Tamandua tetradactyla: one gene and its partners. The protein of the gene in region 1 interacts with the protein of each later gene in a pairwise test. Links are inferred from orthologs where the notes say so. Each region holds a gene or a part of one and is shown on either strand. Other genes may lie near its edges. The genes, in order: ZC3H12A, P4HA3 and AHSP.

Region 1 (11,060 bases):
CGAGAATTGGCGGACTGAGAGTCAGGGACCCTACCAAGCAGCTGTAAGACCTTTATTATTTCCAAACCATCCTCACAGACAGCATATTTTATAAGATTTTGCTCCTAAGTTGTAATTTAGGTAATTATTATTTAGTTAATACTTTTAAAGTGATTGACCATTATAAAAGTAATTTTTGGTTTCGAGTGACGAAATTTGTAGGTTTACATAACTGAAAAGTCTAGAATTAGATATAACTTCAGGCAAGGCTTGATCCAGCAGCTGTCACCAAGGACTTATGTTTTGTCAGTTTCTTGGCTCTACCTCCTATTCTGTGTCACAAGACGGCTGCCAGAAGCTCCTAGCACTACTTGCTTTCCTCATTTGTGATTAGCAAGATAACAAGGAAATTTGCTTTCTTGTTAGCTCAAAGAGAGACCCAGAATTGAAACTCATTAATTTTTGTTTGGTTTGATTTGGGTCCTGTGCATTCTCCTAACAAATTACTATGAGCCGGAGAATGAGGTAACCTGATTTGCTTAAGCTAATTAGGCCCCACCTCTGGAATAGAGTTACTTCTGCCCAGAACACATGGCTGGGAAATTCCCAGCCCTGTTTGGAAGAGAGAACTGGGCAAAGGGTGCTGGAGAGACAACCAGCAAGCCAACTATGGCACATTTATTGGCCAATGATATCACTAACTGCCCTTCAGAACGTCTGGCAGCACATGAGCCACACACGCGCGAGTTGCGGGATCCTAGGAGGTAGGTGTTCACTATGGCCACCCCATCTGCGCATGGCCACACTGACTACACGAGATCCTGCATTGGTGGCCACGTGAGACATCATCTCAGCCCCTCATGAACACGTGATTCTGTGGCTAGACCTGGACTACTTGCAAGTTCATCTGTGTTCAACTCTACGTCTCCACTCCCTGAATCTTCATAGATGGCTCAGTTGAAGACTCCAGGTGGGCCTCGAGTTCCCTCTCACCTCTGAATTTTCAGGTCTACAACTGCCCCCTTTCAGATGCAGGAGACATCCATGATCTGGATTTGGTAAAGAGGATGCAACAGAGGTGTACACAGCAAACATAGCCCAAACCACCCCAGCTCTCTCGGATATTGGCTCACCGAGCATTAACCAACATCCATACCAGGTACTGTGCCAGGGGCATGGTGCAGAGACCCGGACCCAGTCTTCCAGAGCCACGGTCAGCTGGAGGTGATACCCACACACCTCTATAGTTCAGTGGGGACAGTTCAATGAGGAAGGCAGCAGGAACCCTGGGACAAGGGCAGGCTCCTTCCTCCTACCAGCTCAGAGGACAAGAGTGCTTGCTTCAGCACTCTCAGCTCCAGGGCCACCCCAGCTGAGTTCCTAGTCTCTAGAACCTGGGGATGGCTAGGAAGTCGAGCAATTTCTACTGCATCCCTACAGCCATGTCCTCAGATTAGGGAGTGTCAATCGCATACTGGGACCCCCGCCCCTCTTCACATCCTCAGAACTGTGCAGAAAGAATTCTCTGTGGCCCCTTCACTGAATTGACTTTGGCACAGGGGACAAGGGAGGCAGGCAGACTCAAGCTTCTGGCCCACCTTCAGACCCACCTCTTCCATATAGGATTCTCTTGTTACGGAAGTACTTAGTGAGGCCAAAGCAGAAACTTCCACTCCAAACCACTCTCTCCACCGGATGCCCAAGGTTCCCTCATTCCTTGGAGGTAAGTCACCAATGATTGAGAGCACCTGTGTGGGTCAGATTTCTATCTCTGCATCAAGTTGGATCAGAATTAGAGCGAGTGCCTAGGATGGAGGAAGCCTGGCTAGTCCCATTCTCTGCACTGTGGCCAGGGACAAGCTTCTTTCCCTCTCCACTCCCTATCTATAAAACAAAGGGATGGGGCTAAGCAACCTCTATGGAGCTTTCCAGCTCTAGCTGTCTGGAATGTGAGCATTCAAGGGCCCAGAAAAGAGGGAGCAGGAGAAGCTGGGGGGAAACGGAGGCAGAGGGACAGGGGAGGCAGGAGGGTCATCTGGCCTGGGCCCCATAGACAGGAAAGCCCCAAATTTAGACATGATTGTTAATTTCAAAAGGGATCACAGTCAGTCACAGAACATATATACACCAAGAAGACCAAATAAAGACATTTGGTCCCAACACGGAACCATACCACCTGTAAGACCCATGAAATTATATATATCACACCCACATCTAAACATGTATGTTTTTTTAATTCACTCTTTTATTCTGGAATAAGTTTAGCTTTACAGAACAGTTGCAATGACAGTACAGAGAGTTCCCATAAACCCCACACCTACTTTCATTTTCCCCTAATGTTATCATCCTACATCACTGTGGTATATTTGTCAAAACTAAAAAAACCCAACACTGGGTACATTACTGTGAACTCAACTTCAGAGTTTATTTGGATTTTACCAGTTTTTCCATTAGAACCCACTTTCTGTTCCAGGATCCAACTCCGATTATCACGTGGCATTTAGCCAGCCGTGGCTTCACGGGCCCTCTGGTCTGTGACCATTTTTGTCTTTCCTTATTTTTCATGGGCTTTGGAAAGAACAGCCTAGAGACGAGACGCCCCCTCTCATCATATCCTCTCCAGGGACCCGTGATACCCACATGACTGACGTTGACCTTGATCTCTTGGTTAAGGTGGTGCCTGCCAGACTCCCCCACTGCAAAGAGACTATTTTCTCCCATTCCCTACTCTATTATTAAGAAGGAAGTTACTAAGTACAGCTCACAGAAGAGGGGAGGATGGGGAATTAGGCTCCACCTCCTGGATGGAGAGTTTCTACATATATTATTCGGAATTCTTCTATAAGGAAGAGCTGTCCCTTCTCCCTCATTCATTTATTTATTCAATAATGTATTTATATCCATATGGACTCATATTTATTTTACACTTTGGGTCATAACCCAATACTACTTTGTTTATTTTTTTTACCCTGATTGTTACAGCTCTTTTGGCTCCCGTGGCCTCTTTGGCAAGCCCTCATTCTTTTGCTTCTGAGCACTTCTTTACTCTCTGGAACTATAAAATGCTCCAGGCACATCTTTTCCCTGTCCCGGCCCTAAAATCAGTCATTTTGCCTAGGCAATAATATATTTTTAAGCAAATCATCCAATTATCCCGTCAATAGTCCAAATATATTGTGCAACTGTTGAGCATGTGATGAAAATAGCTAATTTGCTCAATTGTGATTTAAAACATACCTTGATCTTTGTAGCCCTGCATTAACCAATATTTTAAAAAATATTTCAGGAGCCTCAAAACATGGGAGGGACCTGGCCCTATCTCCACTTCCAAGAGTCCTTGTTGAATGTAACCATCACCTCTACTGCCACTTCGGTGAGGCTCAGGCCAGCCCTGCCCACCCCTCCCCTCCCCAGCCTGGGCTACCCAAAAGAGCAAATCGAGGCAAAGGTGAATCCAGAGGCCCTTCCCTCTCCAGCCTCCCTGCCTTCCAAAGGGAGTTTCCAGTCCTGGAGCTCTGCAGACCTCGCCCAGGCTGGCGAGGCAAGGGCAGGTGGCAGGAGGGCAGGTAGGCACCAGGAAGGAAGTTGGCAATCCACCTGATGGAGATGAGCAGGCAAAAGGGGAGGTGCATCATTAGACTTCAGAGGATTCCCGGGAATTAGAGTTCAATTTAGCAAAATCCAGCTGGAAGTAGAACCCAAAGCAACTCTGGGTTCTGCAGAAGAGAGCAGGAAGAGAGCGAGACCATGGCTCACTCTGGGAGGGCAGGGAGTTGTGTGACTCACAGCTGGGTCCCACCGGCTCCCACTGGCATGGTGCTGGGCAGCATGAGATCTGGAGGCCCGGGCAGAATCCCAGCCGGGTTCTGGCCCCAGAGGTGGTCCCAGAATGGCAGTTAGAATACAACCCGTAGGGACGGAAGCAGGGTGCTGTGGGAACAGTGAGTAGGAAGCAACTCACCATCTAAAGAGTCCAGGCAGGCCTCGTGGAGGTGGTGTCATCATCAAAATGATGAATGGAATTGGCCAGGCAGCAGTTGGGAAGGAAGGAGGGGAGGACACTCCTAGCAGAGGAAGAAGCATATGCAAAGGTAAAGAAGCGTCTGCCAGGCAGTTGGCAGAGTACCTGCCACCTGGTAACCACTCAATAAATGTGAGGTATTGTTACTGCAGTTGATTAATCATGATTATTAATCTGAACATGCTACAAAGTGTTTTTACTATTGTCAAGGTAGCTACTACAATGAATGCATGCTTAATGTCACTGAGCTCTTCTCATCTATAAAAGAGGCTATTGTGCAGATTAGAAGTACAGCGTGTCCGGGGTTCCCCTGGAGTGGTTGCAATGCATGAGTGGTGCCCACCATCATGAGTGGGCTAGCATATAGTAGGTGGCTTGTGTTCCTTTCAACTCAGCCTGTCAGGCACAGATGAGGGAACACTTGGCAGTCTTTGAAGATGACCAGGCAACAAAACAGGCGCCTGGCTACGCTAGGTCAGGCCAGCCTAGGACAGCCTCAGGTCCTGGCTAGAAATGCACTCTGTGTCCTCTTCGGGGTCTCCCATGGCCTCCTGGAACCAGCAGACATAGACCTGGAGATAGTCTGCCTTGGAGACAGCTGTGTGAATTCCGGCTCTACCAGCTCCCCAACTCTGGGCAAGTCTCTTCATCTTTTTGAACCCCTGAGCTTCAGTTTCCTCAACTCTACGAGAGCATTAGGACATACAAGAATATCCACAGCCTACTCTTTATATTAGCAAAAAGAAAAAAATTAATTTTTTTCTGTTTTCTTTTTATTTCTTCTTCTGAATTGATGCAAATGTTCTAAGAAATGATCATGATGATGAATATACAACTGTGTGATAAAAAAGAATGTTCATATTGTATGTTGATTGGTTTTATTAATAAAAAAATTTTTTTAAGGTTAAAAAAAAAAAAACACCAAAAACAAAACTAGAAATTACCCAAATATCCAAAACAGGAGAATGGATAGTGAGTCATAAAATGGAATACTACACAACAGTGAAATAAATTAATTATAGCTACAAAGAAAAGAGATGGATCCTTAAAAAGTCATATGTGAAAAAAAGGAAACCACAAAACAGAATGATTCCGTTTACATAAGGTAGGAAAAAAAAATGAAAAGCAAATCTAAACAATACATTATTTAGGGAGCCATACAACCGTGGTGAAACTAAAAGAAAACCAAAGATGATTAGCCTAATTAAAACAAAATTCAGGAAAGTAGTTCTTTAGGAAGGGGAGGAAGTTAAATTGGCAGCAGTGGGAGAGGAGGCCAGACAACCTCTGAGGTACTGATTCTGATTAATTTTTTTAAGTTAAATGATGGATACACAAATGTTTTATTATTACTGTAATTCCTTAAGCTGTGTGTATATAGTTGTGTATATAATGTCTTTTACAATAAAAACAAAATTTGATTGTAATACTAGTGCATACCTTAATAGGACACCTGTCTACTATAAGGCAGAGATAATGCTTGGAAACTACTGGCACACAAGGACTCTGTTTTGAGAGCTTTGGCTCTCTTGGCCTCAGTTGCCCCATCTGCAAGGTGAGCTGATAGCACTGCAGAAGCTTTGTCCTCTATCTTGTGTGTGTTTGCACACACGCGTGCGTGCACACGTGCACACACACACACACACACTGGGAGCCTCTTAAGGGCAGGTGCCAGACCCTTCCCTCCTACCAGAGTAGTCTCCCTTCTGTCTCAGGTCACATGAGCGGTTGTGGCAACTGGTGTACTGGAATAGGAGCTCCGGATCCCAGTTCCGTGTCTTTCTAGTTGAGGCAATTTAGCCTTTTCTGAATTTGTTTTCTCATCAGTAAAAGGGACATACTAACCTCTAACTCCCTCACCTCAGCCCATAGGTGGATACTGTAAAGTGCATTACTTACATAAGGGGTTACGACCAATTGATCTGGGAACTTAAAAGCATCCTCAGGGAGGTGTTTCGTGCTGCCTCTGGGGATTGGGGGCGGGGTGGGGGAGAGCGTGACGTCAGGTCTGGGTTTTGAGTGAGTGTAGGATAGTGTCTTCTGTGCTGGCTCACATGGTGATGGTGTGAAAGTACCTACCTTTGCCTGGTTTTCCACTTCAGTCAGTGTCTCTCTGCTGATTGCACCTGCCTTTCTATCTTGGTACTTACTGCAGAAAAAGTCTACCTGGCCCCGGTGTGGCTCCCCCTCTGTGTACCTGCTTCAGTCAGGGTGTGTTTACCTGTGGAATGTTCCTGTTTCAATCTGAAAAGTGCCTGTCAGGGGGAATCTGTCTCGGTAACCATGGACTTACCTCCAACAATGCGTGGACCTACCTGTGTATGCGATCACTTCATGTGTACCTGGCCGTACTTTAGTCTGTGGGAGTGTACCTGGGTGTCCCTCTCTCAGTGGGGGTGAGCCTGTTGCCAAGGGTTCCTAGATCTGAATAGATGTGGCTGGACCTGTCTTGGCATCGCTATACGCACCTCGGCCGGCCCGTACCTGACTCGGTGCATATACCTGGCTCGGCCTGTGCTTACCTTACGCCCGTGCGCCCTTTCCTTCCTAGTCTCATCGCCCCGGGGCCTTGGGGTAAGAAGAAGGGGCGGCGTCCCAGCACCCCCAGCTCCACCACCGCCCGCGCGCCCGCCCGGCACCCCCCTCCCCCCCGCCCCCGGCCCCCACTCAGCCGGCGGGGGGCGGGGCCTGGAGGCCGGGCGGGGCGGGGGGCGGAGCAGGAAGGGGCGGCGGCCGCTCCGCCCCCTGGCGCCCGTCGTCTCCCCCGACCGGCTCTCGCCGCCTTTGCCCGGCTTCCGCGTCACCGACCTTAACGCCACCTGCCCGCCCACCCGCCCAGTATAAAGGCGTCGCCGGTCTTGCCCAGAGGACTCGGCCCCATGGAGACGCCGCTGGCCGCGGCTGGCGCACGGCGGGGTGAGGCGCTCGCGGCGGGGAGGGGGGCGCGGGCCTCGGGGTCTGCTGGGAGGGCGGGGCGTGGAGAGGGCTCGGGCCGGGTCCTGTCGGGGGTGGGGGCGGGCGGGGGCCAGTCACCCCCGCCCCGGGCCGCGTCAGTTCTCCGGAGCCCCTCCAAGTTAGCCCAAGTTGGAGGAACCCGGGGTAGGGGGCCCAGGTCCGGGTGGGGGCGCCCAGCGAGCGCGGGTCTCCCGGCCCGCACAGCCTCCGCGTCACGGCGCCCGGCGGCCAACCAGAGTTTCCCAGCAACTTTTTTCTCCGGTGGATCGCCCCGAAACTTCTCCTCCCCGGGGCGGGAGGCCGGCCGCGGGCCCTGCCGGCCCGCCGCAGTTGGCACCGAGCGCGGGGCGGGTGGGCGGAGGCGAAGGCCTCCGCGGGGAAGCCCCCGGCCTCTGAGCGCACTTCCAACGCCTGGTTTCCATCCGAAAACCCTGCCCCGCCGATGTGGGGGGCGCGGCGAGGTCCTCCAAGGCCCCCGCGGCCTTCTGGGTCCCTGGGTTGACACGGGGGTGGGGTGGGGTGGGAAGGTGGAGTGGAAATGCCTAAATTCACATCCTCAGGCCACCCGTTAACAGCTGTTTGGCCTTGCGCAAGTTCTTAAGGTCTCTTTGCCTCAGTTTCCTCCTTTATAGAACGGGAATGGTAATCCCTAGCAGGGAGAGCCCGGACGGCTGAAGATGGTGATGGTGATGGTAGGGGGCGCGGGCAGCAGAAGGGGTGGGAGCGAGCCCCAGTTCCCATCCCTGACCTCTGTGGTTGTCCCACAGGAGCTGCGGCTGGTCCCTTCCAGGAGCCTGAGCTATGAATGCTCCCTGTGGAGAGAGGCCCATCCAGGCAGCCAACCCCACCATGAGTCTGTGGGAACCTGGGGATGGCCACAGCTGGCAGGGTACCCCCGAACCCACCCAGGAGCCCAGCGCCGAGGAGGCATCCGCTGCAGAGCTGCAGATGAAGGTGGATTTCTTCCGGAAGCTGGGCTACTCGTCTGCTGAGATCCACGGAGTCCTGCAGAAGCTGGGGGTCCAGGCGGACACCAATACGGTGCTGGGCGAGCTGGTCAAACACGGGTCGGCCGCCGAGCGGGAGCGCCAGGCCCAGCCGGACCCCTCCCCGCAGCTTCCTCTTATCGCGCGGGGCGGGGGTCCCCCCAAGTCCCCCAGCCTGGAGACCTCGCCCCCTGAGGAAGAAAAGGAGGGCAGCGACTTGAGGCCTGTGGTCATCGATGGGAGCAATGTGGCCATGAGGTACGTGCCACTCCTGTGACCAAGACTTATGGTCAGTGGCCAGGCAAGGTGGCCACGTGTCCCTGCGGTTCTGGTAGAGAAAGCCCTTCAGGGAGGGGTTGACATCTTCTCATAGCCTAGTCTGAGGAAAGGAAAGCCCTTCGCCGAGGCCCTCCCTCAGGCTGGCGGGCTCCCTCAGCCCTCCCAGCTCCTTGACGTGGGTTTGTTTGGGATGTTTTACAGAGGTGCGACGGCTTTGCCCACAGTCATACTAGTGCCAAGTGGTGGGGTGAGGATTCAAACCCAGGTTGTTCTGTCTCCAGAGGTCATCTACCAGTCTCACCTTGGGTGCCACCACTCCCGGGCTCAGTGACCCCTGACATGGGAGGCACGATGGTCTAGTGGGTTTGAATCCCAGCTCATTCAGTGGAGGAGCCAGTCCCATAACCTGTCTGAGCCTCCTCTCGTCTATAAGAGAACAGCTTTACCCACCTCCCAGGGGGCCTGGCGACTAGTAAGCACTCAGTACATTGTGGGAGCTGCTGCTGTTATTCAGGGGCTGGGGCCTGTGGAGTTGGCTGGTCCCAGACCTGGGCTACCTGTTAAGTGGGCCCAACTGCTGAGGTCTCTATGGCCATGACCGGGAGTAACCTCAAGGCCGGATCTGGCTCTGTCACTGGGGGTGTGGGCGGGTGGCCTGCTACTCTGGCTTCAAGTGAGCTGTGATTTGGGTCCCTCTAATTCAACAGGAGCTGCCTGGACTGGACTAGGCTCTACAGAGCACCTTGGGCCAGTGCTAGAACTCAGCCCTAGCAACTCCCAGCGCCCCCCACTCCCACACCCAACACCGTCTCTCACGGGGAACAGGCTGGGGTGGGGACAGAGGGTAAGACACTGTTGGCCCCAGGGAACCCAGACTTCTCCCTTTGCTCCAGGCCCCACCCTCTGGGTCTGCTTTCTCCCCGTTCCCTTCCAAGCTGGCCAGTGAGTCAGGCAAGGCTGGGCAGTCTCTCACGAGGAAAAGTTCCTGTCGGGGTGGCCTGGGAGACCCCAGACCTGGGGGTGTAGAGTGGGGGAGGGTTCCTTCCCTGGCCACTCTGAGGGATCGCCCAGGTGGGCTGTCTGAGGCGGGCGTGACGTCAGTCTCTGCCCCCAAAGCCCTAGGCCCCTCCCACTCCCGACCCAGCTGGGGCAAGTCTGCTGGCTGGTCCTGGCCCGAGCCCTGCAGACATGCTGGTGAGCTCTCTCACAGCCACCCAGATCAGCCCTGTCTCTAACATGGCCTGAATGTGGGAAGGAGGTTGAGAAAAACAGGCTCCTACCTGCCAGGGGACAGCTGGTCACAGCCTGAGCTTTGAGAGTTCAGGGGTCCATTATTGGGCCCCAGCAGTGTGTGACTGGGCACCGGAGTCGCTTTGGGGCTGTTCCCTTCCTTTGGGGGCCCTGGACTGGGAATGGCTGAGCCCTCCGGGCCGCCATGGCCATGTGCTGTGTGTGTTTGTATCCTGGCAGAAGGAGGAGGGGCCTGGGAGGGAGGAGGGGTGGGTGATGGAGTGGGAGGAAGGGCTACAGAGGAACAGGTGCCCCAAGAGGCAGAGCTGCCGGGGTTTTCTAAGCTGGGGCAGTGGCAGGAGGGGAATTCCAGCCTCAAACTTCCTGTCTCAGCTGCTACTCGGTTCCTGCCCGGCTGTCCCCTCCCCCCCAAGGGCAAGCAGGCCAGCCCCCACCATATGCAAATCGTGGGGAAATTCACCTTCTGTTTCCTTCTAAGGGAATTTTTCTCCACTCACCGGGCCTCGGGCCTCGCCAGGGCAGATCTCACCTGGAGAGCTAGTCCTGGCCCAGCCCTGCCCTCTGTCCTGGAGTCTCTCACCCGCTCACATCAGTGTCTGTTAGCCAGGCTGGGGGGGTCCCGACTTTCTGGGCAGGCAGGATGGCGGAGGGGTGGGAGGATGCCTGGTTTTCCTCTGCAAGCAGGGCTTCCTCTGTCCCTCAGTGACAGGGACTAAAGTTAAGCTGGAGGGAGGCCTGGGAAGACAGTGGCTGGGCTCAATTTGAGGGACTAGAACCTGTTTTCCCCGTCTACTGAGAGTAGGGCTCTGCAAGAGTTAAGGGTTGATACAACTTTTAGTTTTGGCAAGAGTAACAGCGAACAAGTAAACTCATATACTGCTGCTAGAAGAATAAATCGGTTGAGTCCCTTTGGGAGGAAATGTGGCAGTATCTATAAATGTTTATAATATAGGTATCCTTGAACTCAATAATTCTTCTAAGAATGCATCCTATAGAGACGGTATATTTACAGATATATTCACTGGAGCATTATTTGTTGTAGAAAAAAAAATCACTGTGGCTAAACAATATTCAGCCTTAGGGTACTAGTCAAATAAAATAAGGGGCATTTCTATACAGTGGAATATTTTTGCAATTTTTAAAAATGAGGTAAATCTATGTTATCTATATCCTCTGTGTACATATATGGATTTATGTGAAAAATATGCATTAAAATCTTTTGGAAGTTTACAGAAAAAAAACTTCTAGGATAGGGGAGTATGACTAAGTTACGAAGAAGTGAAAACTTTTTATGCTCTTCTGTAGTTTGTTTTTTCAAAACCCAGGTGTATATATTCTACTTCTAAAAAAGTCTTGGAGAAAAAAAAAAAAGTCTTGGAGAAAGCCTATCTTATAAAAATAATTAAACCTGCTCCCCCGCCAAAAGAATAGGGCTCTGACTACCAACAGAGGAAATACTCCAGAGGCTGGTGCTGCTGAGAACAGACTTGTCCCCAGCTAGGGTTTGTAGTGCCTGGAGGCAGTACACTGTTCCGGAAGCCCTGGCATCCCATTTGGTCCCAAGGCTTGAAGGCGCTGGCCCAGGATGA
Region 2 (10,471 bases), on another chromosome or scaffold:
TCTGATTAAATGCGCAGATGCCAGCAAAAAATAATGGATCACACCAGGAAAATTGAAGATATGGCACTCAGTCAAAGGAACAAACCAATAGTTCAAATGAGATACAGGAGCTGAGACAACTAATTCTGAATATACGAACAGAAATGGAAAACCTCTTCAAAAACCAAATCAATAAATAAATCAGACCAAACTGTCTTCATAGGACATGAAGAAGACATGGGCTGAACAAAAAGAAGAAATAGAAAAATTGAAAAAACAAATCACAGAGCTTATGGAAGTGAAGGATAAAGTAGAAAAGATGGAAAAAACAATGGATACCTACAATGATAGATTTAAAGAGACAGAAGCTAGAATTAGTGAACTGGAGGATGGAACATCTGAATTCCAAAAAGAAACAGAAACTATCGGGAAAAGAATGGAAAAATTTGAACAGGGTATCAGGGAACTCAACGACAATATGAACCGCACAAATATACATGTTGTGGGTGTCCCAGAAGGAGAAGAGAAGGGAAAGGAGGAGAAAAACTAATGGAAGAAATTATCACTGAAAATTTCCCAACTCTTATGAAAGACCTAAAATTACAGATCCAAGAAGTGCAGCGCACCCCAAAGAGAATAGACCCAAATAGGCGTTCTCCAAGACACTTACTAGTTAGAATGTCAGAGGTCAAAGAGAAAGAGAGGATCTTGAAAGCAGCAAGAGAAAAACATACAAGGGAAACCCAATAAGACTATGTGTAGATTTCTCAGCAGAAACCATGGAAGCTAGAAGACAGTGGGATGATATATTTAAATTACTAAAAGAGAAAAAGTGCCAACCAAGACTTCTATATCCAGCAAAATTGTCCTTCAAAAAAGAGGGAGAAATTAAAACATTTTCAGACAAAAAGTCACTGAGAGAATTTGTGACCAAGAGACCAGCTCTGCAAGAAATACTAAAGGGAGCACTAGAGTCAGATACAAAAAGACAGAAGAGAGAGGCATGGAGAAGAGTGTAGAAAGAAGGAAAATCAGATATGATATATATAATACAAAAGGCGAAATGGTAGAGGAAAATATTATCCAAACAGTAATAACAAAAATGTCAATGGACTGAATTCCCCAATCAAAAGACATAGACTGGCAGAATGGATTAAAAAACAGGATCCTTCTATATGCTGTCTACAGGAAACACATCTTAGACCCAGAGATAAACGTAGGTTGAAAGTGAAAGGTTGGGAAAAGATATTTCATGCAAATAACAACCAGAAGAGAGCAGGAGTGGCTATACTAATATCCAACAAATTAGACTTCAAATGTAAAACAGTTAAAAGAGACAAAGAAGGACACTATCTACTAATAAAAGGAACAATTAAACAAGAAGACATAACAATCATAAATATTTATGCACCGAACCAGAATGCCCCAAAATACATGAGGAATACACTGCAATCACTGAAAAGGGAAATAGACATATATAACATAATAGTTGGAGACTTCAATTCACCACTCTCATCAGTGGACAGAACATCTAGACAGAGGATCAATAAAGAAATAGAGAATTTGAATATTACAATAAATGAGCTAGACTTAACAGACATTTATAGGACATTACATCCCACAACAGCAGGATACACCTTTTTCTCAAGTGCTCATGGATCATTCTCAAAGATAGACCATATGCTGGGACACAAAGAAAGTCTTAGCAAATTTAAAAAGATTGAAATCATACACAACACTTTCTAGGATCATAAAGGAATGAAGTTGGAAATCAATAATAGGCGGAGTGCCAGAAAATTCACAAATACGTGGAGACTCAACAACACACTCTTAAACAATGAGTGGGTCAAGGAAGAAATTGCAAGAGAAATTAGTAAATATCTCGAAGTGAATGAAAATGAAAACACAACATATCAAAACCTATGGGACGCAGCAAAGGCAGTGCTAAGAGGGAAATTTATTGCCCTAAATGCCTATATCAGAAAAGAAGAAAGGGCAAAAATTCTGGAATTAACTGTCCAATTGGAAGAACTGGAGAAAGAACAGCAAACTAACCCCAAAGCAAGCAAAAGGAAAGAAATAACAAAGATTAGAGCAGAAATAAATGAAATTGAGAACATGAAAACAATAGAGAAAATCAATAAGACCAGAAGTTGGTTCTATGATAAAATCAATAAGATTGATGGGCCCTTAGCAAGATCGACAAAAAGAAGAAGAGAGAGGACGCAAATAAATAAGATCAGAAATGGAAGAGGAGACATAACCACTGACCTCACAGAAATAAAGGAGGTAATAACAGGATACTATGAACAACTTTACACTAATAAATACAACAATTTAGATGAAATGGACGGGTTCCTGGAAAGGCATGAACAACCAACTTTGACTCAAGAAGAAATAGATGACCTCAACAAACCAATCACAAGTAAAGAAATTGAATCAGTCATTCAAAAGCTTCCCCAAAAGAAAAGTCCAGGACCAGACGGCTTCACATCTGAATTCTACCAAACATTTCAGAAAGCATTAGTACCAACTCTCCTCAAACTCTTCAAAAAAATTGAAGTGGAGGGAAAGCTACCTAATTCATTCTATGAAGCCAACATCACCCTCATACCAAAACCAGGCAAAGATATTACAAAAAAAGAAAACTACAGACCAATCTCTCTAATGAATATAGATGCAAAAATCCTCAACAAAATTCTAGCAAATCGAATCCAACAACACATTAAAAGAATTATACATCATGACCAAGTAGGATTCATCCCAGGTATGGAAGGATGGTTCAACATAAGAAAATCAATTAATGTAATACACCATATCAACAAATCAAAGCAGAAAAATCACATGATCATCTCAATTGATGCAGAGAAGGCATTCGACAAGATTCAACATCCTTTCCTGTTGAAAACACTTCAAAAGATAGGAATACAAGGGAACTTCCTTAAAATGATAGAGGGAATATATGAAAAACCCACAGCTAATATCATCCTCAATGGAGAAAAATGGAAAACTTTCCCCCTAAGATCAGGAACAAGACAAGGATGTCCATTATCACCACTATTATTCAACATTGTGTTGGAGGTTCTAGCCAGAGCAATTAGACAAGAAAAAGAAATACAAGGCATCAAAATTGGAAAGGAAGAAGTAAAACTATCACTGTTTGCAGACGATATGATACTATACATCGAAAACCCGGAAAAATCCACAACAAAACTACTAGAGCTAATAAATGAGTACAGCAAAGTAGCAGGTTACAAGATCAACATTCAAAAATCTGTAGCATTTCTATACACTAGCAATGAACAAGCTGAGGGGGAAATCAAGAAATGAATTCCATTTACAATTGCAACTAAAAGAATAAAATACCTAGGAATAAATTTAACTAAAGAGACAAAAAACCTATACAAAGAAAACTACAAAAAACTGTTAAAAGAAATCACAGAAGACCTAAATAGATGGAAGGGCATATCGTGTTCATGGATTGGAAGACTAAATATAGTTAAGATGTCAATCCTACCTAAATTGATTTACAGATTCAATGCAATACCAATCAAAATCCCAACAACTTATTTTTCAGAAATAGAAAAACCAATAAGCAAATTTATCTGGAAGGGCAGGGTGCCCCGAATTGCTAAAAGTATCTTGAGGAAAAAAAACGAAGCTGGAGGTCTCACGCTGCTGGACTTTAAGGCATATTATGAAGCCACAGTGGTCAAAACAGCATGGTATTGGCATAAAGATAGATATATCAACCAATGGAATCGAATAGAGTGCTCAGATATAGACCCTCTCATCTGTGGACATTTGATCTTTGATAAGGGAGTCAAGCCAACTCACCTGGGACAGAACAGTCTCTTCAATAAATGGTGCCTTGAGAACTGGATATCCATATGCAAAAGAATGAAAGAGGACCCGTATCTCACACCCTATACAAAAGTTAACTCAAAATGGATCAAAGATCTAGACATTAGGTCTAAGACCATAAAACAGTTAGAGGAAAATGTAGCCGATATCTTATGAAACTTACAATTGGAGGCGGTTTTATGGACCTTAAACCTAAAGCAAGAGCACTGAAGAAAGAAATAAATAAATGGGAGCTCCTCAAAATTAAACACTTTTGTGCATCAAAGAACTTCATCAAGAAAGTAGAAAGACAGCCTACACGATGGAAGACAATATTTGGAAACGACATATCAGATAAAGGTCTAGTATCCAGAATTTATAAAGAGATTGTTCAACTCAACAACAAAAAGACAGCCAACCCAATTACAAAATGGGAAAAAGACTTGAACAGACACCTCTCAGAAGAGGAAATACAAATGGCCAAAAGGCACATGAAGAGCTGCTCAATATCCCTGGCCATTAGAGAAATGCAAATCAAAACCACAATGAGATATCATCTCACACCCACCAGAATGGCCATTATCAACAAAACAGAAAATGACAAGTGCTGGAGAGGATGCGGAGAAAGAGGCACACTTATCCACTGTTGGTGGGAATGTCAAATGGTGCAACCACTGTGGAAGGCAGTTTGGCGGTTCCTCAAAAAACTGAATATAGAATTGCCATATGACCCAGCAATACCATTGCTAGGTATCTACTCAAAGGACTTAAGGGCAAAGACACAAACGGACATTTGCACACCAATGTTTATAGCAGCGTTATTTACAATTGCAAAGAGATGGAAACAGCCAAAATGTCCATCAACAGACGAGTAGCTAAACAAACTGTGGTATATACATACAATGGAATATTATGCAGCTTTAAGACAGGATAAACTTATGAAGCATGTAATAACATGGATGGACCTAGAGAACATTATGCTGAGTGAGTCTAGCCAAAAACTAAAAGACAAATACTGTATGGTCCCACTGATGTGAACAGACATTCGAGAATAAACTTGGAATATGTCATTGGTAACAGAGACCATCAGGAGTTAGAAACAGGGTAAGATAATGGGTAATTGGAGCTGAAGGGATACAGACTGTGCAACAGGACTAGATACAAAAACTCAAAAATGGACAGCACAATACTACCTAATTGTAATGTAATTATGTTAAAACACTGAATGAAGCTGCATCTGAGCTATAATTTTTTATTTGTTTGTATTTTTTGTTTTTTCTTTTTCCTTTTTTTTCTTTTTTATATTTTTTCTATTTTTATTTTTATTATTATTTTTATTTTTTTCTCTATATTATCATTCTATATCTTTTTCTGTTGTTTTGCTAGTTCTTTTCCTAAATCGATGCAAATGTACTAAAAAATGATGATCATACATCTATGTGATGATATTAAGAATTACTGATTGCATATGTAGAATGGAATGATTTCTAAATGTTGTGTTAGTTAATTTTTTTTAATTAATAATAAAAAAAAGATAATGTCCTTTTTCCTGCTTCTGTGGATAGCTTGTGGTTTTTACCTTTATAAGCCCCCCCTTGAGAACTTCTTGGGGCTACTCTCTGATTCCTCCTTCTTGAGTTTCTGAGGCAGTCGCCAGTGGGCTAATAAAGACTCCTAATTGGCTTGCAAATTGCTTTGACTTGTGTGGTCTCTCTTTTGGTGCGCCCCACAACACTTAGGCGGGTGAATCCATGGCTCTCTTTGCCCTCTGCGTCAAATTTTACCATGTGTGAAATGGGCACACAGGAAACATCTTCCCAGGGCTGTAAATGAGTGGCGGGCAGGCGGAACTGAGATCGCAGGCCCTGCCCCTCAGTCTGGGGCGCTGAGGGGCAGGAGAGTGGGAGCTGGCAGCTAGAGGAAGCGGCGGGGACAAGGAGTGAGTGGGGTGAGGTAGGGTGGGGGAAGGAGCGAGGCGGGGTCAGCGGGCGGGGCCAGCGGGCCGGGCGCGGCCGAGGGGCGGGGCGCGGCGGGCGCGGGGCCGAGCCGGGTGGGCCGCCTGAGGAACGCGCGAGCGCCGGCCATGGGCCCCGCGGCGCCGCTGGAGTTGCTGCTGGCGTCGCTGCTGGCGGTCGGGTCCGGGAGCCCGGCGCGGGGGGACACGTTCTCCGCGCTGACCAGCGTGGCGCGCGCCCTGGCCCCCGAGCGCCAGCTGCTGGGGCTGCTGCGACGCTACCTGCGCGGGGAAGAGGCGCGGCTGCGGGACCTGACCAGGTGAGTGCGTGCGCGATGGTGGCGACAGAGGGGCGTGAGGGTGGGAGGCTGAGTCACAGGGCGAGCCTGAGACGCTGTGCGACCCCAGACTCATTGTCACCTGCGTGGGACCTGGGACCCGGTGTCTTGCTCTGAGACAGGCACCGTGATATGGGGTGGAGAGTGACTCAGGCTGTGTGACCCAGAGCCGTTGTCACCCTGTGTGGGACTCTGAAGCACTGTGGCACGGAGTACTGGGGAAATTGAGATGGAGTATGACCCCAGAGGCGTTGGGTCACAAACTGTGTCAGACCCCAGGCTCTGTCACACACCTACAGTGACACCCCGGATTTGACGTCACACAGTGAAGTTGATACACTGAAAAAGTGTGGTGGGGGTGACTCTGAGGCCACACACGACCTCACAAGGTGCTGTGTCAAGCTGTGTGGGACCCCAAACCAAGACAGATTGATGCAATGACATAAAGACAAGGGCGAGAGAGAGATGGTGAGATGGCAGTGACACCGTGGCCTCACAAGTATTGACCTTGTGAGTGGACACTGAGTGGGCCTTCTGAGAAACACTATGTGACCCAGCAAACCTGTGTTTAGTATGAGGAGTCAGGTGTGGTTCTGTGACCTTCTGCGAAATCTGTATGTCAGGGGGACTGAATGGGCATGACACTATGGATATCATGCTATGCATGTGAAAGATGCTGAATCCAGGTCACTATACGTTCATTACTTCATTCAACACAGACGTTTGAGTGTCTCCTATGAGCCAAACAAGTTCTAGGCACTGGAGGTAAAATTGTGAACAAGACCTAACCTTGCCCTAAAGGAGCTTGGAGTCTGTAGTGTCATAATTGTTAATCAGAGAGGTCCATCTCTTCTTTGTTTTCAACTCTCCCTTCTCTTTACACATGGTAAGAGCTCCCTAGCTTACTGTTTAAGTAAGAAAAGAGATGTTTTTCTGTGCTAAAGTATTTGACGTTGTGAAAAACCTTACGTCATGCTGGAAGATACTGAGTAGAGCATATGCAAGCAAATGCTCATCAATATTATTTTGCTATACAGTCAACAAACTCTAGTGGTACACACTATGGGATAAAATATTTTAATTCTTGGGACACTGTAATCATGCCTTTTCTGCGACATACTATGAAAGATGAATGACTGTATATATGATACCATGTGTATGAGTGTATGTTGTGCTTCTGTGTCATAAAAGCCTGTGTCTCTGTGCTTGGGGCATAAAGTCCATAACACAGTGAGAAACAGTGGTTCCGGCATCACTTTTAAAGTATCAATATTTTATGTATATCATGGGAATATAAATGATATTCTGCTGGAAACAACTTGAGAGGAGACAATAGATGTTTCACAATGCACTGCTTATAAAACTGAAAGTGAGTGTAATTGCTATATGATAGTAATAGTGATTCTAGGGCATCATGGAAAGAAGGTGGATGTGATGTTGTGCGTAAGGGAGCCCGTATAGAAGATTCTAAGTTTGTGGAGGTGTGTGTGAAAGATCTTATTACTCGATGGTGACTGAATGATGATGTGACCTTATAAATGGTGCTTGCCTATAAGCAGTTTGTACCTGTTTAAATGTACTGTTAGTTTGACTAGGTTTATATGTAGAGAGAGAGAATTATGTGAGTGTGTATTAATTTTGTTTAACAATAAATGTATAATAATTTAAATAATTCTTGTTACCTCTTTGGAATACATATTGCTTAACATTCTGTGGGTACATGTTTATAGAGAAAGATATTTTAATTTTATTTTTAGTCCAGGATCACCAAAGTCCAAGTTTATTGATTGAAATGGAACATATTTTGTAAATTTCGGAACCCAACATGCTCCTTAGTGCCCGTGAGTTTGTTTTCATACCCCAGTCCCTTTCCCTGCATGGCTCAAATGGAGATGCATGTCAGAATCCTGGGCTGGGTCCATCAGGGAAAAAGCTCCAGAGAGAGCTCTTGCAACATTGTCCAAAGCAGCTGGTCAGGGGGGCCCCTCTGCATGCCTGTTGTGTCACTGTCACAGCTTTGTCGCACACAGTCCTTAGATAAAGGTTTGTATTTCTCTCTTTTACCGTGATAAGCATGTATTACTTTTTTTTAACATAATTAAAATATGAGAAAACTAAACTTCATAGAGATAAATGAGCTTGTCCAAGATTATAAATTTATTAGGTAGCATATCTAGGAGTAGAACACAATTTTTTTTTTTGCTTTTAATTGTAATAAACTATACATAACAAAATTTACCATTTCAACCCTTTTAAAATGTACAGTTCAGCAGCATTAAATACATTCATAGTGTGGCACAACCATCACCACCGTCTATTTCCAGAACATTTTCATCCCAAACAATAGAACACAGTTGTTTTGACTGTTAATCCGATTCTTTCCATCATGCTATGATATCCCTGCTGCTTGCTTTATGTTATATACCAGGGTGACAGACTAAGCCCAAAACTACCTGAGGTTTTATGAGAGACCACAGCGCACAGTGGGTCGAGTCTGGATTCAGGAATTCAACAGACCTCTGTTTGAATCCCTGGCTCTGCCTTAGGACAAGTTTCTTTAACTCTTTAAAGCTTTGGTTTTCTAATCTGTAAAATGATGAAAGTGATGGTACCTAGCCCCATGGAATTGTTGGGATGATGACATGAAATTAGCCGTGTAAGGTATTTATCATTGTGCTTCAAATATAATAACGCTCAACGTTAGCTCTTTGTGATTAAGGTTTATTTCTTTTAAGTCTGGCTGGTGAAACTAGTTGCCATATTTGGCTTTAAGCATTATCTAGAATTGTGAGGGTCCAGATAGTAAAAAAGAATCAGAAGAATTACAGATTCTTTAGCAATTCCTACACCTTTGTTTTTGTAAAGTTTAGATGGATAGCTTGAGGAGTCTGTCATTCTGTTCTCCAGTCAGTGCTTTGAAACCTAGTGAAATGTTTGCCTTTTAAAGCAAGAATTTTGGCTGTTCTTGCTCATTTTTCTATACTCCCAACTGGTGATCTTATGTAACTTGAGATGTTATTTCTAATGGCCTCAGTGTTATGGGTCTTTGAGTTTTTAGGTTGAGAAATGAAATATTTCTTAAACTTAAAACTACACACTACTCCCAGTTATCGAATGAAAATTACACTAGTTATAGAAAATAAAGTTTACCCCTAATTTTTTGTTACAGTTTGAAAAACCACCAAGAGGATAAGAGTAGTATCAGCAGCAATTATTTCTCTGCTAGGAATTAAGCATTCAGAATGTTTCGGAAGAACTGAGACAAAGACATTTTCGAATTCTAAAAGAGAAACATTGAATTTAAAATGCCCAAGCATTGCTATTGGATAACCTTGCCAGGCTATATTTAATGCAGGGATTGAGTTGCAAATTTTTTGTGTAGATTCTTAAATGAAAGAATCTGATTTTCCACTCTCAGCAGTATTTGTTTTGCAAAATTTGTGTGTATGTTCTTAAAGGAAAGGATCTGATTTTCCACTCTCAGCAGTATTTGTTAAAGCACATGCTATTTAGAAAGCCCTGAAGTTTGAATTCAGCATCTTGTTACTCCATCTCTGGAAACCAGCTATTTGCTTCGAGACTGGGCATAGCTCCAACATTTGGATTCCAAACCAGCCTCATATATCAGTTGACAGGCTTTTCTCCTCTTTGTGCAACAGAAAAATGGTGTATCTGAGCACTGGATTGAATTGATGAGCAGTAGTAGAGGTCAAACCCCTGACCTACACAAATAGAACCCCATAATGCAAATTGGTGGGATATAAAGAGAACAGGAAGATAGAGAAGTAAGCTTTTGACTGTTGGATGACTTAAGTCAAATGTTCTCCTCTCTTCCTTTGCCTCACTTTCCTCTGATTCCTGTTAAACATTAGTTCTCAGGCACTAAATGTGGAATTTATATATTCATTTGTAGAAAAGGTGATAGGATGGCAAGGCCTAGGAGTTGCTTCCAGGAAATCTCTTTGTTGCTCAGATATGGCCTCTCCCTCTAGGCCTAACTCTGCAAGGAAAGTCATTGCCCCCTGCCCCCGTGGGACCTGACATTCAGGGGTGAAAATCTCCCCATGGCGCATGGCTTCTGGGATGAATCTGGTCCTGGCACCCTGGGATCTACAAAGCCTTCTGGACAAGGGGCAGGAAACAGGTATAATAAAATAAGGTATCAGTGGCCAGGGGAGATCAAATGGAGTCATGAGGTTATTCTGGAAACTATTCTTATGTAAGCTTCAGTTAGATGGTGCTGATTGCCATGGTTTGCTAAATCTCAACCAACATCACTCTTGTTGACTTTTGGAAACACCTAGGGCTTGAACTGAGACCAATAAAGGTTTCATGCACCAAGTTTGCTTTCCCGGAA
Region 3 (9,680 bases), on another chromosome or scaffold:
GTTTCGCGCTCATCTGGAAAGGCACATGGCGAACATGGCATCATCTGCTAGTTTTCTCTCCTGGCTTCCTGCTTCATGAAGCTCCCCGGGAGGCATTTTCCTTCTTCATCTCCAAAGTGCTGGGTGAAGGACTCTCTGCTCACAGCAGCTGCAGCATTCTGTGCTCTCTCTGAGTCTCCTGGCTTTCTCTCTTATGGTTCTCTTTTATAGGATTCCAGTAAACTAATCAATATCCACCCAAATGGGTGGAAACACACCTCCACCTAATGCAGTTTAACAACCACTCGATTAAATCACATCTCCGGGGAGATGATCTAATTACAGTTTCAAACATACAATACTGAAGAGGGATTAGAAGAAACAGCTGCCTTTACAAAATGAAGGATTAAAACATGGCTTTTCATCATTTCAAACCAGCACAAGAAGCAAGCCAGGGATAGAGGTGCAGATCTGTGAAGCACCGGGACTTATGTGGCAATTAGAGGCATGGGAGCAGGTCAGTATAATCTACCATTAGGTGCTGTAGTTACTCTTCATTCACAATCAAAACGTTTTTCTTCCTTCTAATTCTGGTTAATTTCTCAGCAGAAACAGTAATGGATTTGGGGTACTCACTGCTTCAGTAACTTTAATTTTGTCATTATGGACCATCAGACCCAGGTAGTTCATAACACCATCATTGAAAAATAAAATTATTCCACATTTTACTTAGATCTAGGTCCAGACATGAGAACACGGTGTGCAATTGATAGACTTTGGCTCTAAACACGTTTGACTACTTCTCAATTTCATACACTCTGACAGAATGGCTCGAATGGCGTTTAGATGTTGAGTTTCCCATCCACTGTAGGAATCTTTTCTACAGCATTCCCCATAATTGGTCATCTTCCTTTGACTGAGCACTTTAGGGACTGTTGGCTCACCACCTCCCAAGGCAGGATACTTTAAATTGATGGAAAGTTATTAATTAATTTAGCCAGAGTGACTTCGGGCCATTCTTCTAAAGCTCGCTCCATATAGCAAGAGTAAGCCTAATAGTTTTTCATATGCCCCTACCCATGTACACTACACCAGCTCTGCTTGCAAAGGCGGCGTTTTTGAATACTGCCTCACCTGGGCGGGCCCTGGGTCCACACTAAAGGACTGGGATTTCCTGAGGCACGCTGTGGGGAAGGCCTCGGCCTCCACCAGGGACACCGACCACACCTCAGAGGTTCTCGCTGCCTGGTTCTCTGCGAGGTGGCCATCCTCTCGCTGGGTCTGGGGCCTCCTCACACCCCTAAGCTGGAAAGATGGCTGGGGGCACTGAGCCCGTCCCCTTTAGACCCTGGACTAGACTGCCTAGACTGCCGGCGCCCTAAAACCAAAAACCGGAGGTGGGGATGCACAGAACCAAAGAGAACGCCCGCTGAAAGTGGGAACAAGAGAAACACTCGCTGCCCCAAATTTTCCCCGCGAAAGCAACAATACAGAAAAGGACAGGGGATCTCCCCGCCCCCTTAGCGGGGCGCGCGCTTTGCGCGACCTGTGATTGGCCGAATCGTGGTGCGCCTCGCCCCCCCCTCCCGCGCGCAAGGCCCTTTGCGTCCTCCGCGCCTGCGCCCCCTAACCTCCACCCACCTCCAATCCTCCCGGCTTCCGTGCCCCTCGGGCTTTCCAGGGAGACAGGGCTGCCGGCTAGTCCCCCTTAGTATTCTCCCCAGCACTTTCGTTTCGTTTTTTAAAGGCTCGTGCGTCTGGCTCAACCCTGGTTCCACCCCCTCTAAATCCTAGACTATAAAGATTTAGGGTCTGGAGGTCGGGGAGAAAAAGGTCTAGTCTGGGGAGTGGAGGAGCAGGTTAGGGGCAACGAGGAAGGTGGGGCGAGCTAGATGGTTACCAAGAACTCTTGCAGTTCTAAATTACCCCGCTACGCTGGGACACCTGGGAGGAATTTTGCTGTAGTCTTTAGAGTCAGAAAGTCCTAGAATTTTGCTCAAACTGGAGCTAAGGGTAGGGAACTGAAAAATTGAGGCGGTGGGTGCTTCATTCCTTAAGACTTCCAGCAACTTTCTGCAAACAAGCCCATCCCAGGACTACAGTGGCAGGAGAGCTTCTATCCTTCCTTTTCTACCACTCCCGACCCCCAGCTACCTCCTGCCCCCACCTCATCCCCAGCACGTTCCCTTCAGACTCTGTGTGTTAGGCCCCTCCTCCGACCCATTTTAGTACTGGCTGGTGGTTATCTGGGATTGGTGACCTCTGCTCTAAGGAATTAAGTCTCCAAGGGGAAATCTAGGAAGTAGGGCTGAGGGAAAAGGACTCCAACTGCCGCTACAAGTGGGACAAAAATTGGAAGAAGATCCGAAGACCAGCAAAACCAGTATTTGTCTTTATTGAGTGGGAGTGTAGAAGCAGCGGAAGAGCAGAGCCCAAGGACCTGAAGGACAGAGCCAGGACTTGAGGGTTTCTTAGAGATGAAGGGCTGGTCTCTGGGCTAGGAGGAAGGCAGTGGGCGATTTGGGTGCTCACAAGGACTTCAGGAAGGCCCGGTATTTGGCCAGGAAAGGGTTAGCCAGAGTATTCAGCTCTTGCTCAAGTTCCTGCAGAGCCCTGTCCTGCTCCTCCTGCTCCCCGACCATCTTCCGCCTGTAATAGGTGATGTAGAAGTTCACCCAGTCGCCCGCTATGGTCACCATAGCCTCTTCAGAGATAGGAGGATCAGGGTGGACCTGGGAGTAGAAGGGGAAGAGAATGGGATTCGAGAATTTCTTCCTTTCATTGTTTCCACCAACTCCACCCTTACTCTCCTTTTTCTGCCCTCACCCCCACCTCTCCACTGGTTTCCTTTGAAACCTAGTACTGGGCTTACCTGCTGATCCAGCAGAGCATTAAATTCTCTCATTGCTTGGGAAATGAGATCCTTGTTGGCCTGAAGAAGGGCCATCTGCCTACTTAGAGAAAAGAGTTTAAGTATCCTCCTCCCTGCCCCTGGGTATTTCCCCCAATCCCCTCACTCCCCTGAAAGATCCCTGGTGCCCAGGCAGGGCCACCTCCTCCCACTGCTTCTTAAATCCCCCTCTGCCCTGAGATATTATTTCTCCCCAAAGTGAGCTCACCTTCAGGCCCAATGGTGCTGTGTCTCACCTACACTCCCCAGGGATGTAGGTTCCTCTGTGACAAGCTAGGTTGTAGGCAAGGAGACAAGTGTCTGCCTAAGAGGGAAACGCCCTGTGTCTAGGTCCTGATGAAGGATGATAGGTCAGTTGAGGGAGGAGAAGGAGGGAGAGGCTTCCCTGACGCTAGGAAGATAGCAAGACCAAGAAAAAAAAGATAAATGAGGAGATCCAGAAAACGCAAGAACCAAACCAGGTTCAAATCCTTGCTTCTGCCCCCTGCCCCCCATCTCAGTACCCAGGCTCCAAACACACATTTATTGAGATCCTATTACATGACAGGCTCTCTTAAGGCATCACAACACCATGATGACAATTATTCTCCCATTTCATAAATATATTAATAGCTTACATTACACTAATTCAGTAAGTGCTTCCTTGTTACGAGCATGTATTAAGTTATTCATCCCTGTAAAAACCCTTTAGGTAGGGACTGTTATTAGCCACATTTGGCAGATGAGTCATAAGAAAGGGAGTTGGACTCTGTCAGTCTTCACTCCCCAAGAATGGAGATGCATTTGTCTTGTTCTCCATGGTATCACCACGTACTCCACAAAATAGAAATGCCCTTTTTCTTCCTTTTAAATGTTTTCCCAATAGTTTCCATTTTTAGCAGATGTTTTTCAAGTTTTAAAATCACTACATGTTGGGTGGGCCACAGTGGCTCAGCAGTCAGAGTTCTCACCTGCCATGCTGGAGACCCAAGTTCAATTCCCAGTGCCTGCCCATGCCAAAAAAAAGAAAAGTCGCTACATGTTCATTGAAATAAGTGACGCAATACAAATCTGTCCACTGGAAAAGTTGATCATTTTTCTCCCTCCACCTACTAAGGTAACCAGCATTAACAAATATGTTTCCTGGCACAGCTTTCTCCATTCAAAAACCAACATTCATAAGCACCTATACTCTCAGAGGTTTGTTGATTTACTTTCTTTGTTTAGGTGTTTTCTTAATTAACAAACAGCAAAGTCATCCTCTTTTCTGGTGTATAGTTTATGAATTTTAACATATGTAGATTCATGTACCAACACCACAATCAGGGTATAGCAATTGCATCACCCCAAGAAATTCCCTTATGCTCACTCCCACACCCACCTGTAAGCCCTGCCAACCACTGATCTGTTCTCTGTCACTATTTAGTCACTAGGTTAGTCTTTTAAAGAATGTCATGTAAAGGGACTCATACAGTCCTGACCTTTTGAGACTGATTTCTTTCACTCAGCATAATACCTCTGAGATGCATCCAAGTTGTGAGTTGTTCCCTTTTCATTGCCAAGTAATATTCCAGTGTGTGGGTGCACCACAGTTTGTTTATTCATTCACCCATTAAAAGACATGGCCTCGATTGTAGGCAGTTTAGGGTGAGTAGGAATAGAGCTGCTATAAACATTTGGGTACAGGTTTTTGTGTGAACATATGTTTTCATTTCTCTAAAATAAAAGTATGTATTACCAGTGAGAGAGAGAATTACGATACAATCTTAGTTTGCCGAGGCTGCTATAACAAAATGCCATAGACTGGTTGGCTTAAATATCAGGAATTTATTTTCTCACAGTTTTGGAGGCTAGCCACCCAAAATTAAGGTGTCAGCAGGCCGGGCTTCTTGTGACATCTGTAGCATTCCGGTGGTGGATTGCTGGCAATCCAAAACTTAATTTCTGCCTCCATCACAGCTGTCTCTCTCCCTATCTGTCTCCTACTCTCCTACTGTGTCCAAACTTCCCCTGTATCCTAGAATCCCAGCCATTGGGTTAAGGCCCATTCTGTGTCAGAGTAGCCTCACAAATGGGTTCATAATCACAACACAAGGGGTTAGAACTTGAACCTGTTTTGGGGGTTGGGATGGGAGGACCTGATTCAATCCATAACACAATCTGACGAAGGACATGTGTCCAAAATTTATATTAACTTTTACAACTCAATAATAAGACAACCTAATTTTTTCAAACAACCAAAAGATTGGAACAGACATTTCACAAAGATATACACATAGCCAATATGCAACTGAAAAGATGTTCAACATCATTAATCATCAGGGAAATGCAAATTAAAGCCACAATGTGGTACCACCACACATCCACTGAATGACTAAAATTTAAAAGGCCAATTAGGTGTTGGTGTTGATGTGAAACAACTAGAATTCTCATACATTGCAATAGGAGTATAAAATGGAACAAACAGTTTGGAAAACAGTTTGACTATTTCTTCTGGAGTTCAACATCCACTTACCATATGATCCAACAATTCCACTCCATGAGAAATGAAAATATGTCTACAAACATTCTCAGATTCAAATGTTCATAGCTTTATTCATAATAATCCAGAACTGGAAATAACCCAGATGTCCGATAACCAGTGGATGGAAATAAAAATTATGGTTCACACTGAAATACCACTCAGCAACAAAAAAAGAACAAACTGATGGTCCCCGCTGCAAAATGGGTGAATCTTAAATACACTATGCTGAGCGAAAAAAAACAGACATAAGAGAGTACATGTAGCATGATTCCATTTCTGTGAAATTCTAGAATAGGCAAAACTAAGGTCTAGTGACAGAAGGCAAATAAGTAGTTAACTAGGGCTGGTATATGAAAGTGGGGATTCAGTTGCAGAGATGCCCAAGGGGAACTTTTTGGGGTGGTGGAAATACATATATTGATGAAAGTGAAAAGCACTTTCACTTGGTAGGAGTGTAAAGTTTTTAGAAGAATAATTTGGCAGTATTTAGTCAAAATATTCATACCCTTCAACCTTGCAATTCTGCTCTGGGACTCCTTTTTTTTTTTTCTGCATAGTCAGGCACCAGGAATCGAAACCAGGTCTCTGGCACGTGCAGGCAAGAATTCTGCCTGCTGAACCGCCATGGCCTGCTCATTTGGGACACTATTTTTGAAGAATATTGAAGAAATATCAATATTCTATGCACAGAAAACCCTGTACAAGAAATCTACCACACCAGTTTGTAATAAGGAAAAGGTCGAAACAACCTACAGGTCCATCAGTATGGGGAAATGTCAAAGAAATTATGGCACATTCATAGCATGACATTACATGCAGCATTAAAATAAATGTGACAATATGAAAATATCCTTAAGTCAAATGTTAGGTGAACTATAGATAGAGCAGCCCACCCAGGGCTGGGAGTACAGGAGTGGGGAAGCATTATATATTTCCATATGTGTATATATATGTATGTATATGTATCTTTGCATGTGTGTATACAAAATGATAAACAATGTTTACTTGGAAGGGACTGGTTTGTTTGGGAAATGGAACAAGGGATTATTGTCAAGGGAAAATTTACCCTTATCTATATTATCTGAATTATTTTATGACAACAATGTATCCCTCTATTATTTTCTAATTTTTAAAAAAAGAATACAGAACAAAAAAAGGAAAGAAAAAACAATGATAGTGTAGTTTTAAATTTTCAATCCTGGAAATTGAAATTTCCAAGTGCTGGAAAGTATAGTCATTGCTCACTAAAATATTTGTTGAATAAATAACTGCATGATTTTGTGACCTAGGTGAAGTAGTCTGTAAAAGGGTACTAAAATATACCTAACTTATGAGAGCTGTTGAGAAAATAAATTCATTTATTCCACAATTACATATTAGGCACTTACCTATTAGACACCTACCAGGCACAAGTACAAGGCACTGGAAATATACTGTAAAAGAGGCCCTCCTGAAGCATATATTCTGGGGTGGGGTGGGGGGTAAAGTGGGGTGTTGGAGATGTGAGAGGGTGAATGGTAGGGGTGAAGCCTAAGAGGGCAGAGTCAGATCTGCAGGGCTCCATGGGTCATGGCAAAAAGTTTGGGTTTTCTTTTCAAGTGTGAAGAAAAGCCATTTCAGGGTTTGGAGAAGAAGAATGTTGCAATCTTCTTCCAAAAAAAGCAATAGGAAGGCAAAGGAATTTTAAGCTATGTGGAGAGTGGACTGTAGCAGGGCAGGAGGGAAAATGGAGAGCCCAATCAGAGAAAAAGTCAAGGAGATGAGGAGTGTGGAGTATTCCTCCTATTGCTTGGTATACTATGGGATACCAGGATTTGGGGGCAGGATTTAGGACTCCAGAATCCTTATGGAGTAGGGGAAGGTGAAATATCCATCACTCATCTCTTTGTCAAGAAACTGGTCTGATTGCTGGGGTTACAAGGAAGTGTATGTTAAGTCTCTGTCCTCAGTTACTTACAGTTCACTTGGGAAGACAGGACATCTGTACTAAATACATACAAAAACAAACGGCTCCAGGCAGCACTTGCTAAGGGCTGAAAAAATACTGCAAAGACAAAAGAACCAAGTTCTGAGTGCAGTGAGGCCAATGTGGTCAGTAACGCTGCAGGGGGTACATAAATACTGTGACCATATATATATATATATATCTCCCAAGACAGCTCCATTTTAGACCTGTTATTCTGACATTAACAGTAGTGCCTCCTTCAGTGCCACTCTCGAAAGACCTAGTTTAGATAATAAATTGTATGGTGATACGAGGCATGAGGACTATTTGACCTGCCTCACATAGAGCAAAAGGCCTCAAAGTTGGACACTTGGAGTTATCTAGAAAGAATCATAGCCAGCACTTAAATAGCATGTTCTATGTGCCAAACACAATTTCATAGCCTTACACATATGACTCATTTCATCTTCATCCCAACCTTGATTGGAAGGTATTAGCACTACTGTCAGTTTACAGATGAAGAAACTGAAAAACAGCGAGTTCAAGTAACTTGCCCAAGATCTCACAGCTGTTAAGTAACAGAATCTGGATTCAAACTGTGACCCTCTGATAGCATTCATTTATATAGGTTGCCCTCCGAGTTCTCTTAACCACTAAAGTGTTATCACAACAATGCCTCACAGAAGGTAACATTTAAAACATAACACACTGTTTGTAACCCTTCAATTTTTCACTTTAGTACCAGGAAACTAAAAAATAAGATAAAAATTGCAGTGCCCCAGGCCTATCTTGGCCTCAGAGGGACTGTGCTTAGGTGTCGGATAGGGCGAGAGGGAATTGAGGATGTATCAGGCTGAAAGGTCCCTGAGGATGGAGATAGTTTGGAAGAATCAGAAGTTTGTAGAAGGGATGTGGTCATTCAGTTGAGACCAAACTGTTCAGGTCTGAGAATGTCAAGCTAAGGAACTAGGACATATTATTTTCTGAAAGAAAAAGGAAGCTTTCGGCAAATTTCTACTTTGGAGTCAGCATATTGCACTGAATGGGAGGAAAAAAGGGAGGGTGGGAAAGCTAAAGTGAAAGGAAGGAGGGAAGGAAGCACTGTGTCTTTAGACTTTCTCCGATTTCATGGAAACCTCCTCCCCCACCAAATACACACACAGGCACTTCTTACCTATTTCTCTTCTTTCCTGATAGACTACTACTGCAATCCCTTGATTGCCCAAACCCTCGGATAAGGACCTCGGGGTCCTTCAGACATACTCCTCCATCCAGGAGGCTCTGCAAATTCTGTGAGAATTTTTAGTGGAGGCCATAGACGCCTAGAATTTAAAGAAAGTAAAAAAAAATTGCAGCTCAACAGGACCTCGGGGATCATCTGGTCCAGCGTCTCATCATTCACTCGTTCATTCATTCATTCATATCTTTTGCGCACCTATGTGTTCGGTACTTGAGATAAAAGGACTAAAAATATATAATACTCCCTAGTATGTCAAAGAATCCCAAAGAGGAATACTGACTTGCCAAAAGTCACACAGATAAAAGTTTTGTGGCTGAACCGGGTCTCAAACACCATTTGTTCCCTAGACCCTCTTTTATTTTCCCCATAACCGGACATTGCTGGTTACAGGAATTCAGATTCGTCTCTGGTCAAAGAGCCTCCATTTCTCCCGTGGCCCAGCTACAAAGTACTACATAGAACAAGGGTCGCGACCGGCCCTGGGTCCGAGGTGGGAGCCCGGGAGGACAGAAAGGGTAGTCCGTTTCCAGGCCCGGACAAACCGAGACACAGGGCCTGGCCGCCCTTTTCGCGGAGGAAGACTGCCCCTCTGCAGCCGCCGTAGCCGAGACGGAAGCGGAGCCCGCCACGTATTTCATCTAGTGGGACTCGAGCTAAGAGATCCGCAATGGCTGAGCATACAGGTCTTGAGGCCCAAGTATGCTCGGAGCGGTTCGGCTCCGGGACTGCCCGGAGCTGCCGTGTTGCAGCCGACGGGAGCCTGCAGTGGGAGGCCGGGGAGTGGCGCTGGTTCTCCGGGGCCTTTACGGTGAACCCTGGAGGACGAGAAGGGGGTGCAAGGGGGGCGCTCCGGGCTGCCTCACTACCTCTCTCGGGTCTCCAGGCCGTGTTCCTGCCACAGGGTTTCCCTGACAGCGTCAGCCCGGACTATCTGCCCTATCAGCTGTGGGACTCCGTGCAGGTCAGCGTGGCCATCTGGGGCGGGGGGGGGCTCATCGTCGAGGGCGGGGAGAACAGTGCCGCGCCACCTTCCCCTCCCCATTTACAGACGGGAGTCTATGGCCCAGAGCGAGACGCGAGACGTGACATCGCACGGGTCACA

The links.
Region 2: the proteins of ZC3H12A (region 1) and P4HA3 interact in binary tests that used the Homo sapiens proteins (3 or more experiments, as listed by UniProt). The two-hybrid records come from large-scale screens. The link is inferred for Tamandua tetradactyla from reciprocal best matches to the Homo sapiens genes ZC3H12A and P4HA3.
Region 3: the proteins of ZC3H12A (region 1) and AHSP interact in binary tests that used the Homo sapiens proteins (3 or more experiments, as listed by UniProt). The two-hybrid records come from large-scale screens. The link is inferred for Tamandua tetradactyla from reciprocal best matches to the Homo sapiens genes ZC3H12A and AHSP.

What each region holds. Positions count from the first base shown.
Region 1 is NC_135328.1:187,839,411-187,850,470, reverse strand, and holds the start of ZC3H12A (endoribonuclease ZC3H12A), read left to right. Parts: upstream 1-6,845; 5' UTR 6,846-6,916; intron 6,917-7,722; 5' UTR 7,723-7,756; coding exon 7,757-8,199; intron 8,200-11,060. UniProt on the Homo sapiens protein: Endoribonuclease involved in various biological functions such as cellular inflammatory response and immune homeostasis, glial differentiation of neuroprogenitor cells, cell death of cardiomyocytes, adipogenesis and angiogenesis.
Region 2 is NC_135334.1:71,394,744-71,405,214, forward strand, and holds the start of P4HA3 (prolyl 4-hydroxylase subunit alpha-3), read left to right. Parts: upstream 1-5,905; coding exon 5,906-6,096; intron 6,097-10,471. UniProt on the Homo sapiens protein: Catalyzes the post-translational formation of 4-hydroxyproline in -Xaa-Pro-Gly- sequences in collagens and other proteins.
Region 3 is NC_135349.1:23,060,281-23,069,960, forward strand, and holds AHSP (alpha-hemoglobin-stabilizing protein), read right to left. Parts: upstream 3,270-9,680; 5' UTR 3,099-3,269; intron 2,934-3,098; exon of another isoform or gene 2,931-2,933; 5' UTR 2,927-2,930; coding exon 2,852-2,926; intron 2,712-2,851; coding exon 2,508-2,711; 3' UTR 2,350-2,507; downstream 1-2,349. Other genes in the region: RUSF1 (RUS family member 1), read left to right, coding at 9,246-9,539. UniProt on the Homo sapiens protein: Acts as a chaperone to prevent the harmful aggregation of alpha-hemoglobin during normal erythroid cell development. Specifically protects free alpha-hemoglobin from precipitation.